Callithrix jacchus: one gene and its partners. The protein of the gene in region 1 interacts with the protein of each later gene in a biochemical or structural test. Links are inferred from orthologs where the notes say so. Each region holds a gene or a part of one and is shown in the gene's direction. Other genes may lie near its edges.

What was found.
Region 2: the proteins of JAG1 (region 1) and NOTCH2 form a complex in vitro, tested with the Homo sapiens proteins (2 studies listed by BioGRID). The link is inferred for Callithrix jacchus from reciprocal best matches to the Homo sapiens genes JAG1 and NOTCH2.
Region 3: the proteins of JAG1 (region 1) and CD46 form a complex in vitro, tested with the Homo sapiens proteins (2 studies listed by IntAct, with this or other methods). The link is inferred for Callithrix jacchus from reciprocal best matches to the Homo sapiens genes JAG1 and CD46.
Region 4: the proteins of JAG1 (region 1) and NOTCH1 form a complex in vitro, tested with the Homo sapiens proteins (3 studies listed by BioGRID and IntAct, with this or other methods). The link is inferred for Callithrix jacchus from reciprocal best matches to the Homo sapiens genes JAG1 and NOTCH1.

What each region holds. Positions count from the first base shown.
Region 1 is NC_133506.1:17,765,831-17,769,635, reverse strand, and holds part of JAG1 (protein jagged-1), read left to right. Parts: intron 1-889; coding exon 890-1,020; intron 1,021-1,576; coding exon 1,577-1,696; intron 1,697-2,127; coding exon 2,128-2,241; intron 2,242-3,455; coding exon 3,456-3,569; intron 3,570-3,805. UniProt on the Homo sapiens protein: Ligand for multiple Notch receptors and involved in the mediation of Notch signaling. May be involved in cell-fate decisions during hematopoiesis. Seems to be involved in early and late stages of mammalian cardiovascular development.
Region 2 is NC_133508.1:158,271,987-158,276,367, reverse strand, and holds the start of NOTCH2 (neurogenic locus notch homolog protein 2), read left to right. Parts: upstream 1-1,374; 5' UTR 1,375-1,591; coding exon 1,592-1,664; intron 1,665-4,381. UniProt on the Homo sapiens protein: Functions as a receptor for membrane-bound ligands Jagged-1 (JAG1), Jagged-2 (JAG2) and Delta-1 (DLL1) to regulate cell-fate determination.
Region 3 is NC_133520.1:35,123,926-35,128,341, forward strand, and holds the start of CD46 (membrane cofactor protein), read left to right. Parts: upstream 1-1,488; 5' UTR 1,489-1,566; coding exon 1,567-1,810; intron 1,811-4,416. UniProt on the Homo sapiens protein: Acts as a cofactor for complement factor I, a serine protease which protects autologous cells against complement-mediated injury by cleaving C3b and C4b deposited on host tissue.
Region 4 is NC_133502.1:184,966,848-184,969,686, reverse strand, and holds part of NOTCH1 (neurogenic locus notch homolog protein 1), read left to right. Parts: intron 1-48; coding exon 49-196; intron 197-289; coding exon 290-387; intron 388-1,722; coding exon 1,723-2,839. UniProt on the Homo sapiens protein: Functions as a receptor for membrane-bound ligands Jagged-1 (JAG1), Jagged-2 (JAG2) and Delta-1 (DLL1) to regulate cell-fate determination.

The sequences.
Region 1 (3,805 bases):
TCTCCCTGCCTTTCCCCACCCTTGTTAAAGCTTGGCTCTTGAGAAGGCAGTTAAAGTTTCAGAGAGCTTGAAACTTGGAGGGTGGTTTGAGAAGCTGCCCTCCCTCCCACCCCAGGTGAAAGGTTTTGTTTTTGTTTGTGGATCAAAGGCACTATTTGGCCCCAAAAGAGTATGATTAATCAAGGTGCTTATATAAAAGAACCTCAACTCCCCTAATACTAGATAAATTAAGCAGACTTTTTTTTTTTTTTTTTTTTTTTTGGCAAAGCAAGAAATCACTATAAATTAGCACACAGTAATGGGACACAAATTATGGAGCTGGTTCCAAGTGTTGTCATTTCCTTCTCCTTCCCTATGGAAGTGGTTTTAGAGATGCTATCCTGGCCTTTGCCAAGGGAGGGTGCCCCTTTCTCTCTTTTTTTTTTTTAAATCATCATCATGAGGCAGGTTCCTGCTGCACTTGGTGGCTCGTTGCATTTCTGTGCTTTGGGGCCGTGACTTTCTGTGCAGACAGAGCAGAGCTGCAAGTGCAGTGTCTGCAGAGACGTTGGCAGAACTCTGTTGTCACCAGGAGAGTCCTTTGCTCTACGGTCTGTGTCTGTTGCAACTACGTGCGTGGGTTGTTTTATTCCCTGCCTTCACCCTTGGCTTACTCGAGTTGTCCTGAGAAGAGAGTGGCTTTGTGAAGGGTATCCCCAAACAGCCCTCCTTTTGTCAGGAGTCGGCTGGGAGGGGACCCCAGCCCAACTGTGAAAATGTTTGTTTGTATGGAGCCCCTGATGAGCCTTGGGAGTCTACCATCCTGTCCTCAGAAACATAACAGAAAAAGGCTGGACTTACTCTCTTAATGTACAAAAGGCTGAGCTGGAGGTATGCTGTGTGTCTCCAGGTGCCAGTATGGCTGGCAAGGCCTGTACTGTGATAAGTGCATCCCGCACCCAGGATGTGTCCACGGCATCTGTATCGAGCCCTGGCAGTGCCTCTGTGAGACCAACTGGGGCGGCCAGCTCTGTGACAAAGGTATGGCCCTTAGGGATGAAACCCAGGGTGGGATGCGGGCCTCAGGAGGGGTGTGGGTTCTGGGGTGGGATGGCAGTCATTTGGTTTTTAATTTTATTGGCAGGGGCTTTTATTCTGAATTCTCCTTAAATGCTGTGGGGATTTTCTGGTTTTCTTTTTAAAAGACGATGGGGCTGGCTGGATCGTGCCTATAATCTCAGCACTTTGGGAGGCCAGGGCGGGTGGATTACCAGGTCAGGAGATCGAGACCATCCTGGCTAATACGGTGAAACCCTATCTCTACTAAAAATATAAAAATTAGCCATGCGTGGTGGTGCGCACTTGTAGTCCCAGCTACTCGGGAGGCTGAGGCAAGAGAATCGCTTGAACCTGGGAAGGTAGTGTTTGCAATGAGCTGATATCGTGCCACTGCACACCAGCCTGGGCAACAGAGGGAGATTCTATCTCAAAAAAAAAAAAAAAAAAAAAAAAAAAAAAAAAAAAGATGGGGCTAGAAACATGGCGGGTTTGCCATCTTCACAGGCATCTCTTAGTGACATCAGGATCTTTTTGGCAGATCTCAATTATTGTGGAACCCATCAGCCGTGTCTCAACGGGGGAGCTTGTAGCAACACGGGCCCTGACAAATATCAGTGTTCCTGCCCTGAGGGATATTCAGGAGTCAGCTGTGAAATTGGTAAGTGGTCCAAGCTGAATGAGAGTCCTTTGTCTAATTTTTCTGTACTCAGCTTTTAAAAAAATATACTTAAGGACTTAGGAAAAAGCGAAAATAGTCTCCAAAGATAGGAATTATTCCAGCCATTCTATGGGCCTTTGTAACTTTCAAGTCCCTGAAGTTTTTTGGGTGATGTTGATTCACAAAGGAGGCAGCGGGGAGATGAAATGACCCCAACCCTGAGATGTGTTGAAATGTGGTTAGAGACAGCTCAGCAAGAAAGATGACTTCCTTTCTTTCCTAGACACAGCAGGGTTCTATCACATGCTTGCTTTTGGTTTTTGAAATATGCCTGCGCTATAGTGCCTGCGGCATGGGATCTGGTTGCAGGGGGAGTGGAGAGGTAGGGGTGCACAGGTATCCCTCGCTGATTGCCATCCTGGTTTTTGCAGCTGAGCACGCCTGCCTCTCTGATCCCTGCCACAACAGAGGCAGCTGTAAGGAGACCTCCCTGGGCTTTGAGTGTGAGTGTTCCCCAGGCTGGACCGGCCCCACGTGCTCTACAAGTAAGTCCAATTTTCAGCCTGTGTCCATTCTAAGGATCCTTGTGCCAAGATACCACGATGGGGAGAAGTACCTAGGCCTGTCCAGCGTGGATGTCTCAGTGGGAGAGGGGCGGCTGCAGGCAGAAGTCTGGCAAGCAGGCTGGTGGCTTGTGTGTTTGGAAGTCTCCCAGCACCCCCATCCTGTCCCACTAAGGTAGCGAATGTATCTGTTCTTGGAAGAAACGTCCTCATGGAATCGCTTGTTCCTTTGCATCTGCTTCCTGGAGCTGGCCACCTTCCAATTGTGGTTATTTTCCTTGCAGCCATGGAGAGGCTGCCTTCAGGGGAGGTTGTCACTCACTAATGAATTTTGTCATCGGGCCAGGGGGCCCTAAAAGAAGAACCTGGTCTGCAGAGTTCCTTTGGCTGTGAGATAGGGCTGTATGTCAGAATCACCTGGGGTGCTTAACGGTGTAGATCTCTGGGTCCCCCATATTCCCTCCACAATCGGGGAGTGCATGGTCTTTGATAAACTTCTGGAATTCTGCAGTGCAGCCAGGTCTGAGAACTGCTGTCATCAGCACCCCAGGTGTGGTTAGGGGTGTGGATTTCTGGGGTCAGATTGCCTGTGCTGGCCCAGGGCCCCCGCCCATCATTTGCGGAACTCCAGCAAGCCACGTAAGCTCCCTGGGCCCTCTTTAAATGGCACAGTAGCAACTCCCATCTCCGAGGGTTGTCATAAAGACACAAAAGTGAATACTTCATAAAGTGTTAGGAGGTCTCTCTGGTCAGAGCAGAAGTGGAGAATGCAGCCTCCAGGTGTGTTATTTTGGGCAAACTCTGTAAGCAAGTAAGAGGAATAAGGTTTTCCACCTGAACTATTTTTCCATACTTCTTAGCTGCTTCTGAGCCATGATGAAACTTTCCTTTGAAAACAAAGATTAGGCAGATAGAGATGTCCTGAGTTCCCATTGGGTGGACGCTCTGTCAGTATCCAGCTGTCTTTCTCCCCCACTGCTTAGGTTGGGGATTACATGAACTGGGGCAGTGGGGGATTTAAAGCTAAAATCAAGGCTTCGGCCTTATCACTGTCCCACTTGTCCTGCTGTAGCTTTTTTTGTAGCAGGTGTCTGGCTCTTCAACAACAGCCCCTCATATGAGAGGTGATGTTAAATGATCTAATTGTCAGGCAGATTGAATTAAGTTGTCAACCCCCTCCTTTTCTTGTTGACCAGACATTGATGACTGTTCTCCCAATAACTGTTCCCACGGGGGCACCTGCCAGGACCTGGTTAATGGATTTAAGTGTGTGTGCCCCCCACAGTGGACTGGCAAAACGTGCCAGTTAGGTAAGAAAATCCCTGTGACTGTAATTTTTATACAAGTTTGGCTTTGACAATCAAAGCCATCACAGAAGACGAGCGTGTGGCCGGCAGTGTGAGTTCACACTCCATCATGCTAAGAAGTAATTTATTATCAAGAGTCTAGCAGGCCTGGGAGAAATAACTTGAATGCAAATGGGCTAGCTCTTTTAGGCCCTGTGGGAAAGTCGTGGGATTCCTTGAACCATGTCAATCGTCTGTCC
Region 2 (4,381 bases), on another chromosome or scaffold:
CCATAGTCTCTTAATATCTGTATCTATATATACCCATCCACAGAAAATGTGTAGTATTGTTTTGAAAAAATACATAAATGGTATACTTTGTCTCCCTCTGCAATGAGTTTTTACACTATCATTTAGTTTTTAGGATTTATCCCTACTGACATACATGAGCACAGTCTTTTCAGTTACTGTGTTGCATTTCATTTTATAAGTATACGTTATTCATCCATTCCTCTGAGGGTGGGCATTTACGTCGTTTTCAAGGTTTTGTTATTACAGCGTTAAAATGAGTATGTTTAGCTTAGGCGGTCTCCTCGTCGTATAGAAATTTTACTGACCCCTCAAGATCCTGCCTTCATCTCCGCTGCTCTGTGAAAGCCTTCCCTGAACCCCGCAGCCCACAGCAGCAAAGTCTTGGTCCTCAAAATCGCTTGTGCATCTTTGGTGTCATTCCGCTGTGCCAGGCACACAGCTCTGCAGAGCAAGGCACTTAAGAAATACTTGCTACACGGGAGAACGAATGAATGAATGAGTAGAGCAGCACCACTCGGTGACGGTTCTATCCCCTTTTAATGGACTTTGGCGCCTTGGCCCCCTTTCCTTCTTTGACAGCGCTGGTCCTACGCCAGCGCATTCCTCTAGCTAGCAGTGTGTGGACGTGTGGGTGTGGGGGCGACACAGGACTCACTGGCCGCGGGCCGCCTCTCCCTTCAAGTTCACGGTCCCGGCAAACGCCAGGGCTTGAAGTTCCGAGTTCTACCCCACCCCCCTCGGCCCCCACGCCCCCCCCACACCCCCCACGCTCCCCCACACCCCCCACGCTCCGCACGCTCCCCACGCTCCCAGGCTCCCCCACGCCCCCACGCCCCCCACGCTCCCACCCTCCCCCACGCTCCCCACGCCCCCACGCTCCTAGGCTCCCCCACGCCCCCCCACGCTCCCCACGCCCCCCCCACGCTCCCACGCTCCCCACGCCCCCACACGCCCCCACCCTCCCACGCCCCCACGCCCCCCCACCCCCCACGGTCCCCCACGCTCCCCACACCCCCCCACGCCCCCACGGTCCCCCACGCCCCCCCACGCTCCCCCACGCCCCCTCGGCCCCCAAGCTCCCTCCGCCTGCCGAAGCGCGGCAGCGCCGACCGAGTTAAGGCGCGGCGGCCCCCGGGGCTTCTGGAGAAAGATGCGGCCGGCGACGGGGACTTGTAGTAGATCCCTCCGCGCGGAGCTCGGGCCGGCGCTTCTTCCTGCGGGAAACCCCTGGGTGCCCAAGGCGGCGGGGCCGGGTCCGCGGCGACAGGGGGGCGGGGCTTGCGGTGGGAGGAGGCGGCCGAGGCGGAAGGACACACGAGGCTGCTTCTCCGCACACCCGAGAAAGTTTCAGCCAAACTTCGGGCGGCGGCTGAGGCGGCGGCCGAGCAGCGGCGGGCCCCGGGCGGGGGGAGTCCGGGCATTTGCGCCGGGGCTTCGGAGCGCAGCGCCAGGGCCCGAGCCTCTGAAGCGGGAGGAGGGGAGGAGAGAGTGGGGCTCCCCTGTCGGGACCCCCTCCCCATGTGGATCTGCCCAGGCGGCGGCGGCGGCGGCGGAGGAGGCGACCGAGAAGATGCCCGCCCTGCGCCCCGCGCCGCTGTGGGCGCTGCTGGCTCTCGGGCTGTGGTGCGCGGCCCCCGCGCGTGGTGAGTATCGGGCTGCGGGGCGCTGTCTGCGGCGCCCGGGGCCGCCACCTGGGGCGACCTTTTCCCCTCGGTCCTCCTCTGTGCGGGAAGGCCGGGCTCGGCCGCTCGCCGGGCGCCCGCGAGTTTGGACATCGCCGGGGGCCCCTCCCGTGGCGCCCCCGCCGCCTCCCGGGGTTCCCCGCCGCCTTCTGCTCCCCGCGGCTCGGGACGCCTCGCACGCCTTGGCCGGAGGGAGGCCGGCAGCGAGTCTCAGAAGCTCCTTTTTCCTGGCGCCAGGGCGCAGGGAGGTGGGCAGCTTTGCCCTTCGGGTTCCGCGTTTCCTGGGGTCGAGCGAGAGCCGACGGCGGGCCGCGGAGGGGCTGAGCGAAGGAATGCCAGATTCCGGCGTGGAGAGAGGGGGCTGGGCCGCCGAGCTCCACGGCCTGCACCTTCGCGGCCCGCCCGGGCTGTGCTCACGGGCCGGGTGTGAGGCTTGCTTTGGATGGGGACGGAGTTTGGGGCGCGCCTGACTTTTGACACTCCGACTCGACCGAAAGTCCGGAGGAGCCGGGTGTGCTGCTAGCGTCTTGGAAAGGTGGAGGCAGGAGAAGTAGGGCAACTGGTGTGGCTGCATGCTGAGGCACATGATTTAAAAATCTCAACTGCTGTTATTCTTTCCGAGGCGCGGAGCTCTGCTGCAGTTTCAGGCTGTGTCCAGACCCAGGAATGTGGTGTGACGATCACCAACTCCTCCAACCTGGCAGCAGGATTTGCTGCTCCTTTGGCATGGCTGGGGGTGGGGCACGGGCGGGTAAGGAAAAGTGGATACGTTAATTCAAAGGGCTTCCTTAGAAAGCCTCTTTATGGTTGGATATTTCTAACACGGTTGGAGCGAGGAAAGGGAATCGAGTCATATCTTCTCCATCCCACCCACACTTTTAGATTCTGGATTTCTTCAGACTCGTCGGGGGAAATAACTTGGACTTTGAAGGCCTGCTCTGTAATCCTGGATTCAAATCCAGCTCTGCTGTATGAACTCACCAATAAAATGGGAATGAAATTACGCAGTTAATAGGATTAATTACAATAATGTATGTTAAAGGGATGGCACTCTAAAGGCGTTTCAGGGCTGAGGCTGTGTTTTTTTCTTCCTGAAATTGATGCTTACAGTGGGATGGTGTCTTGTGCATGCTTGTTGAACAAAAAGGGAGCCCTTTCTTTTTCTGAGCCTAATCTGAACAAAGATTTTACCTTCACCAAAAACTGGTACATGAACTACATATTTTTTTTTTTCAATGAAAAGGTTAGGAAGATGATGAGCTTCAGAAAAATATGGTCTTTGTTCATTGTTAACAGGCTGTCGACATGTCAATCGCAGGTATTTAAAAAGAGAGCAAGGTTATTTATCACCTGAAAACAGTACTGAGTTGTTCAGCACCAACTAGATTCTTCTTGGAAAGTTCAAATTTCATTCACCTCTAGGTCACTAAGAATTTCAGAAGCGGACCAGAGACTTTGCAGTGATGAAGCAAAGCTGTTGTTTCTGAAACATTTAGTAACGAGCATATGACGGTGTTTTTGCTTTTCCTTTTTCTTTGAGTAAAAACTGTAAGTGTAGCTTTAGAAGACAGAGGAGTATAATCAATGGGACAGTCTCAGGACCACAATCCTTGGTCTGCCATTAACTTGTTTTGGTAAATAACTTAATCTTCATGATCCGTCGTCTCCTCACCTATGAAACTGGACTGAGAAAAATAGCCTGCTTTAGAGAATTGGAGGGAATAATAAATATGATTGTAAAGTGATTACGAAATTAAGTATTAAATAATCCGATGTCAGAAATAGGATTACTCTGACACACAGGGCTTCTTTTATTCTAGGATCTCAGTGCACAAAACGATGCCCTCCACCTCTGCCCTGCTGAGGTGCTGCGAGTATTAGGTGAGTTTTAGGTAGTCAAGTTGAGTGTTAGTGAAGTTGACTGAAGGGGTAGGATTTAGATATTTTGATTTTTAGGCAAGTATTCCTTAGATGCTAAACTACTGCCGTAGCAGAGGTTTCGAAGCCTGTTTCTTGGTACAAATCTTTAATCTTAGAGTCTAATGTGAAGGCTTCTTGAATCCTCCTAATTTATTACTGTGTTTTGCTAAGGTACCAATTACAGTGCACCCTTCCAAACTTTTGAGTGTTCCTGTGTTTGGCTTGTGGCCAATTGTTAATTTAAACATCACGGAATTTCTAAGGCAAGGAGCTGTCAGCCCGTATGTCCCATTGTCTACAGCTATCCAGGACCACCCCCTTGCTCCTTGTTTTCTTTTGCTTTGCAGTGGGAAGTGACTCCCTGATTTTGCTGCCTGCTAATTTCTCAGCTGAATTCTTCTCTTGCTTAAACAAAATCAGAGTAATTTTCTTTCGGATGGAGATGAAATTTACCCTAAAACTATTTTTCCTTTCACTTTTTTCTTGTTCTTTCTACATTATTATTCCTTTTTTTTTTTTGGTGTGGTGGCGGGGGGAGGAGATTGATTATTCCTTTCTCTCTTGTTTTTCTGAAAATTTAGATTAAAAAAAATTTACCCATTACTTCTTGGCATCTCTCTGCTCCATTCCCACTCCACTGCCTCTCCTGTAGGTTTCTGTGGCATAGAGGAGCAACTTTTGTTTCACCTGGATTGTAGTTGCTGACTTCAGGACCTTTAGAGAATGTTTAAATTCAGTGGGATATGCTTGGATGCTTC
Region 3 (4,416 bases), on another chromosome or scaffold:
TTGACTCACAACGCTACAAATCAATCCTGCTCATTCTTAATTTTCCAGCATTGTTCCTGAGACTGTTTCACAAAAAAAGAAAGTTCTCCCTCTTATCCACTTAACCTAACAATTTCTGCCCATCCCAATCCTCCTGCATTTATTGCTTCCAAGAATTTGGCACTTAGGACACCCTTGTCCTTACATTGTTCATGCATGTATATTTCATCTTCAAAAAACATTTAGTCGCTCAAGGGCAAGGGCCCCAGAGTCCCAATATGCTAAGGGCCTGATGTCGCTTAATAATTTAGATTCCAGCGGGGCTACTCTCCAGGGAGGAGAGCAAAGAGCAAATTACCTTACGGGCTGGGAGTGCAGGAGCCAAACCTTTGAGACTGAAAACAAGAAGGCCAGAGACGATTCAGCAGCAGGCATCCAAGCAAGAAAAACTCAAATACTGCTCCTAATAATGTCTAATGGCAAATACCGTGTAAGGGCCCAGGCAGTCCGGACAGCCTGCAGTGCCCCAGGATAAAACTAACCCTGAGGGCTGATGGCCCAGAGTGACGCCCGTCCTGGCCTCTGGATCTCTATTTTTAGGTCGAAGGGCTTTATTCTTGAATCCCGAGTTCCCGGAGACAGTCCTACGGCAGCTTAGTTTTCTTTCTACCCTTCCAGGGTCACAAACTTGGCGGTGACCCAGCCCTTTCTCGCAGGCCGCCTCAGGTTTCCAGAACTGTGGCCCTACGGTTTAGCAAGAAAAGAGGCGAGGCCCGGGGAGCCTGCAGGGTTAGGCCCTGCCAAGGCCACGCCCTATCTCCAGGAGGCCAACGGGCTGTCCCTGAGCGCCAAGGCCCCGCCCAGCGGTCCGCCGATTGGCCCCACCGCCCCGGGGCCTCTACTCACTTCCGCCTCGGGCGCGGCTCAGGCCACGCCCACCCGCTGTGAGGCTGTGGGCACTTTGTGAGTTTGGGGATTGTTGCGTCCCGTAAGCGGACTCACAAGGGACTTCCCTGCTCAGCTGGCTCCCGGTTTCTCTGCTTACCTCCGGATAAATGACGGCTTCTTCCGCGACGCGCATGGCGCCTCCCAGCCGCCGCGAGTGTCCCTCTCCTTCCTGGCGTTTTCCTGGGTTGCTTCTGGCGGCCCTGGTGTTGCTGCGGTCCTCCTGCTCTGGTAGGATCCCGGGGCGGGTTCGCGCGTCAGCGGTGAAGCTAGAACTCTGCTGGATCAGCTGGGCAGGAGGCGCGGGGCGGGACTGACCGTTTGTCCTGCCGGCTTGGGGTAGAGGGCGAGGCCAGGGTTCTCCGAGGAGCGCAGTGCGCAGATCCCTGGGGTGTGTGGCGGAGGATGCGGGGACCACTTAGAGCCCGAGGTGAAGCTTGTTTGCTGGAGTGATGTGCGCGGCCCGAATTTACGTAGGGTCTGGCTGCGCCCCCAACAAAAGCCTGCACCTTGTTTTCGGGATTGAGTCCAGTCGGCAAGTGGAGCGCGCACTGGGTGCCCCTGGTAAGGGCTTGCTTTGGAGTGCACGGGTGCGTGGGAGTGTTGCTAGGGCCCGTGCTGTGCCGCCGGTGAGAGTTTAACATGTGTTCCCTGGGCGGGGCGGTTGGTGCCTTGGTGAGCCGGGTGTTCCTTAGCACTTCGGCAGTATCTGCGAAAAGTGCTGCGGCGCGTCCGTCCGCTGTGCCCCATGGGCTGGGCTGGCATGGGCTGTGCTGGGCGATCAGGGGCCTGGCCTGGTGTTGTTGGGAGCGTGCTGTGTTGTGTGCAAGTGGCCTGCCCTTCAGAGTTCACGGTGGACAAGACAGCTCACTGTTTGCTTTGAATGGTGTGAGCGTGGACTCTGGGGCTAGGGGGGTTATGTTGGGTGAGAACAGGTTCTCAGTGCCTGGGGTTAGAGATGCTGGTAAGGGCACGCCACGCGTTTTGTGCCTTCTGTGAACAGTCTCCGTGTTGCCTGAGATCCTATTGGTCTTGATTTTTAACTAGCTGGTTTTTTGGGACTTGGGTGGGTCATGGAGTCATCTTCCTGTTCCCAACCAATGTAGACACTCTCTGATTCCATTACCTAATGGCTTTTTGACATAATTTTCCTTCTTTTCATTGTTTGAGTCATATTTGAGAGATGTGAAGAAACCTAAAAAACACTGGTAACCAAACCTATTGAGAAATTAGTATCCTAACAAAGGAAAGGAAATTATGTTAATCTGTTTTCCCTGCAACTCATAAACTAAAGCTGAAGCCCATCCCACTAAATTTGTTTTGTATTTCATTGAATGGAATAATACTATTAAAAATGCATACTAGGCCAGGTGCAGTGGCTCATGCCTGTGATCCCAGCACTTTGGGAGGCCCAAGTGGGGTGATTGCTTGAGCCCAGGAGTTGGGCAAGCAAAACCCCATGCAAACCCCATATCTACAAAAAATACAAAAATTAGATGGGCATGGTGGTGTATGCCTGTGGTCCCAGCTACTCTGGAGGCTGAGGTGAGAGGATCGCTTGTGCTTGGGAAGTGAAGACTGCAGTGAGCTGTGATCATGCCACTGTGCTCCAGCCTGGGTGACAGAGTGAGACCCTATCTAGAAAAAAAAAAAAAAAGCTAAGAAATACATGCTTATTAAACAAAACGAACAGAATCACAGGACAACTATTTTTAATATTTTGGACTATTTCCATCTGACTTTATATGCGCTTCAGGTGTATCTATGTCCAAACTTATATTTAGGATCCTATTACGTGTACAGGTTGTACGTTACGTTTCTTTCCTTAGGAACATTCATTCAACGAATGTCGGCCTAGAATGTGTGGTGCTATTACACTGGTAGGCAATCCCAAACGTTCCTATTTTCTTGATCCTTTTTTTCGCCATTTGTTTACACACATGTACATGCAGGAAGATAAGCAGGGGCTTTGTTTTGTGCACTGCTGCAAGCTCAGTGCTGGGAACACAGTAAACAATAACTATTCGCTAAAATGTATTGGGAGTGGCAGACATTAACTAAACGTAATAGTAACAAATATATTATGAACCAAGGGAAGTGCTCTGGAGAAAAGGAGTATAATTTTCTGACAGCATTTAACAAATGGACTGGAGGCAGGGAAGGCTTTTCTGCTCATCAAAGAGACAAAACTCTGCCTCTTTGGGGCATCTGTGCTTGCTGTTCTCAGCCCTGGAACATTCTCCTGAACTGCTGCATAAACGGGCTCTTTTCTTCTGCAAACTCGGCTGGTATGTTATCCCCTCAGAGACCTTCTCTGACCGCCCCCCGTTTCAGGTTGGAGACATACAACCCAGTTCAAGTCCCTCTTCACTTGTAATCACGCTTTAAAAATGACCTTTTCTATTCTTTGTCTCTCCCCATCAGAATGCAGGGATCTTATCTGTCTTGTCACATTTGTGGTTCCAAAAGCCCAATTTGTTTGCCTCCATATCAATACTGACTCAGTATCCATATAGACATCTGTTAAATACCAGAAAATTAAATATACTATTTGGCTGGGGCTTAGAGCCTAGGAAAAAGTTCCTCCTGCCTCCAGGAAGAAGGTTGTTTAAAGAGCTATGCTCAGGGTGGTTTTTCTGTGGTACCTAAAAAGCCAGGGCAGGGGCAGCTGAGGGCCCGAAAGGATCTTCCTCCCCTGTTCATGTTGACTGTAGGGTTTCCAGTACTTAAGTCTGGCATTTCAGTGATTATTAAAACGTTCATTTTGAAGGAGGGTGATGGGAGGAGGGAGCAGTGGTGATAAGAAGAAAACGAAAGGCCTTTTATTTTCTTTTAAGATTAATGTTTAGAATAGACTTAGTACTAGAAGTTCAGGCTGGGCAACATAAGGAGATCCCACCTTTACAAAAAATGAAAAAAAAAAAAAAAATTAGCCAGGTGTGGAGTTTGTTGCATGCCTGTAGTCCCAGCTACTTGAGAGGCTGAGTGAGAATCACTGGAGCCCCCACGGTCAAGGCTGCAGGTCAAGGCTGCAGTAAGCCCTGATTGTACCACTGCACTCTAGCCTGGGTGACAGAGTGAGACCCTGTTTCCAGAAAAAAACGAAAAGGAAAACACACACACACAAATAGGAAGTTGAAGAAGATAATGAAAGTGATTTGAAATAGAGGAACACAGAAAAATAAAATAGGGTGCAACATGGAAGATAACCTTGTTTTTCCTTCTCTTCATTCTTAGTTAAGTTTGAGGTTGATAAGGTTAAATCAACAACAAGTATGAAACCTAGAGAAAGTAAAAATGAGAACTCATGATGCCACGCAGGGAGAATACATGAACTAAAATAAACATTCAATTTTTGGAGCAACTCACTCTCACAAGGAGAAGGTTTTGTAAGCAGACAATGCTGCACATGGGAGACCTGCTCTCTCAAAGGTAGTTGCCAAAGGGTTCAAGACAGCAGAAGGAAACACATATCAAATTTCAGGCCAGTCT
Region 4 (2,839 bases), on another chromosome or scaffold:
CGGTGTGTGTCTGCCCGGCACCCGCCCGAGCCTCTCCCTGTGACCCAGATCCTAATCCGGAACCGAGCCACAGACCTGGACGCCCGCATGCACGATGGCACGACACCGCTGATCCTGGCTGCCCGCCTGGCCGTGGAGGGCATGCTGGAGGACCTCATCAACTCGCACGCTGACGTCAACGCCGTAGATGACCTGGGTAAGCCCTCGGGGGCAGGCCTGCCACAGGGAGGGTCGGACCGGGCTCCTGCCCGCTGGTCTCCAACCCACCCCATCTGCTTCCTTCACGCAGGCAAGTCCGCCCTGCACTGGGCTGCCGCTGTGAACAATGTGGATGCCGCAGTGGTGCTCCTGAAGAATGGGGCCAACAAGGACATGCAGAACAACAAGGTGAGCGTGAGACCAGGGCGCAAAGGGGGACGAGAGAGGGGACTTGGGGGATGAGAGGTCTGAACCCACAGAGCTCAGGGAAGCGAGAGCCAAATCCAAGGGGCACAGGGAGGCGAGGGCCTGAGCCACAGGGTCTCGAGGACTCCTGGGCCCGAGAACAGGCTCCGCCTGCATGGTGCCGGCACCTCCTTAGTGCTCCCCGTCTCCTTCAGCCCCTGTTTACGGAGCCCTCCCAAGTGCATGTCCACTGTCAGGACATGGCAGTCACCCGGTAGACCCAGCCCTGTCCTGGGTTGCAGTCACAGTGTAGTCACAGCCTGGCGTGGGGAACAGTGGGCAGGGCGCACAGCCTGGCGTGGGGAATGGAGCCCCTATCACACTGTTCTGTCACTGTCACCTGGACCTCACCTTCTGTCCCCAGCTGTTACCAGGCAGGGGTGAGGATGGGAACGTGGTGACCCCGGTAGTGTAGATTCAGCCAGAACACACGTGGCAGCAGCTCCCTGCAGGGCAGGACCCTTGGGGTGAATGAGCAGCTCTTCCTCTGAGTGGAGCCGCCCCCAGCCCTCATCCTGGCCTTGCAGTTCTGGGCGAGTATCTGATCTGAGCAGCTGCTATTGGGCTCCTGGGCATTCAGGACACAGGTGCAGATGCCCCCACCTCCCTGCCACCCGAAGCCCCACCTCCGCGCCCAACTCCAGCTCCCCCCTTGGCATGCCAGGCTAAGCTGTCTCTCCCTCCTGGGCGAGGGCAAACGGCAGGCCAGGGCACCCAGGCATGTTGGCCCAGGTGCTCCCTGGTGCCACCACGGAGACTGGGCCCCACAGGGCACCGAGGGCTGAGAAGCCCCCTCCCACTCCCTCGAAGCAACCTCACCCAGACGTGTGGTGTCTCCACCACACTGAGGGGACCCTAGGAAGGGGCTTGGTGGCGGTCCAGATGACATGCTCCCTCCCTGGTGCCTTCATTGGTGCAGCAATTTCCTTCTGTGCCTTATTGGGGGCAGGGAAGAGGGGCTGCAGTTTGTTAGATTTTCAGTGGGGTCTATGACCCCCACATAAAGGTGGGGCCCTGCTGATCTAGGGTAGAGGACTGCACAAACCCCCTCTGGGTGGGTTTCAGAAATTGTATTGAAGCCTTCACATTTAACAAGAGTCAGGCCAGGTGGTTGCTGGACGCGGGGCCAGGGTCCCGAGGAATGTCCTGCACCACCCCTTCTCCCCCTCTTGTCTCCGAGGAGGAGGTTGTACTGCTGCTCCCTCTGGTGATGGAGCCTTGGGGAGAGTCCCCATGCCAGGCCTGGCTCCCCTCACCGGCCCCACCCTCGCCCCCCAGGAGGAGACGCCCCTGTTTCTGGCTGCCCGGGAAGGCAGCTATGAGACCGCCAAGGTGCTGCTGGACCACTTTGCCAACCGAGACATCACAGACCACATGGACCGCCTGCCACGGGACATCGCGCAGGAGCGCATGCACCATGACATTGTGAGACTGCTGGACGAGTACAACCTGGTGCGCAGCCCGCAGCTACACGGAGCCCCGCTGGGGGGCACTCCCACCCTGTCGCCCCCGCTCTGCTCGCCCAATGGCTACCTGGGCAGCCTCAAGCCTGGCGTGCAGGGCAAGAAGGTCCGCAAGCCCAGCAGCAAAGGCCTGGCCTGCAGCGGCAAAGAGACCAAGGACCTCAAGGTGCGGAGGAAGAAGTCCCAGGACGGCAAGGGCTGCCTGCTGGACAACTCCGGCATGCTCTCACCTGTGGACTCCCTGGAGTCACCCCACGGCTACCTGTCAGATGTGGCCTCACCGCCACTGCTGCCCTCCCCATTCCAGCAGTCTCCATCCATGCCCCTCACCCACCTCCCCGGCATGCCTGACACCCACCTGGGCATCGGGCACCTGAACGTGGCAGCCAAGCCCGAGATAGCGGCGCTGGGCGGGGGTGGCCAGCTGGCCTTCGAAGCCGGCCCCCCACGTCTCTCCCACCTGCCTGTGGCCTCCGGCACCAGCACCGTGCTGGGCTCCAGCAGCGGAGGGGCCGTGAATTTCACTGTGGGCGGGTCCACCGGTTTGAATGGTCAGTGTGAGTGGCTGTCCCGGCTGCAGAGCCGCTTGGTGCCGAGCCAGTACAACCCGCTGCGGGGGGGCGTGGTCCCAGGCCCCCTGAGCTCGCAGGCCCCCTCTCTGCAGCACAGCATGGTGGGCCCTCTGCACAGCGGCCTTGCTGCCAGCACCGTGCCCCAGATGATGAGCTACCAGGGCCTGCCCAGCACCCGGCTGGCCACCCAGCCTCACCTGGTGCAGACCCAGCAGGTGCAGCCCCAGAACTTACAGATGCAGCCACAGAACCTGCAGCCACCAAACATCCAGCAACAGCAAAGCCTGCAGCCACCGCTGCCACCACAGCCACACCTCAGCGTGAGCTCCTCGGCCAGCGGCCACCTGGGGCGGAGCTTCC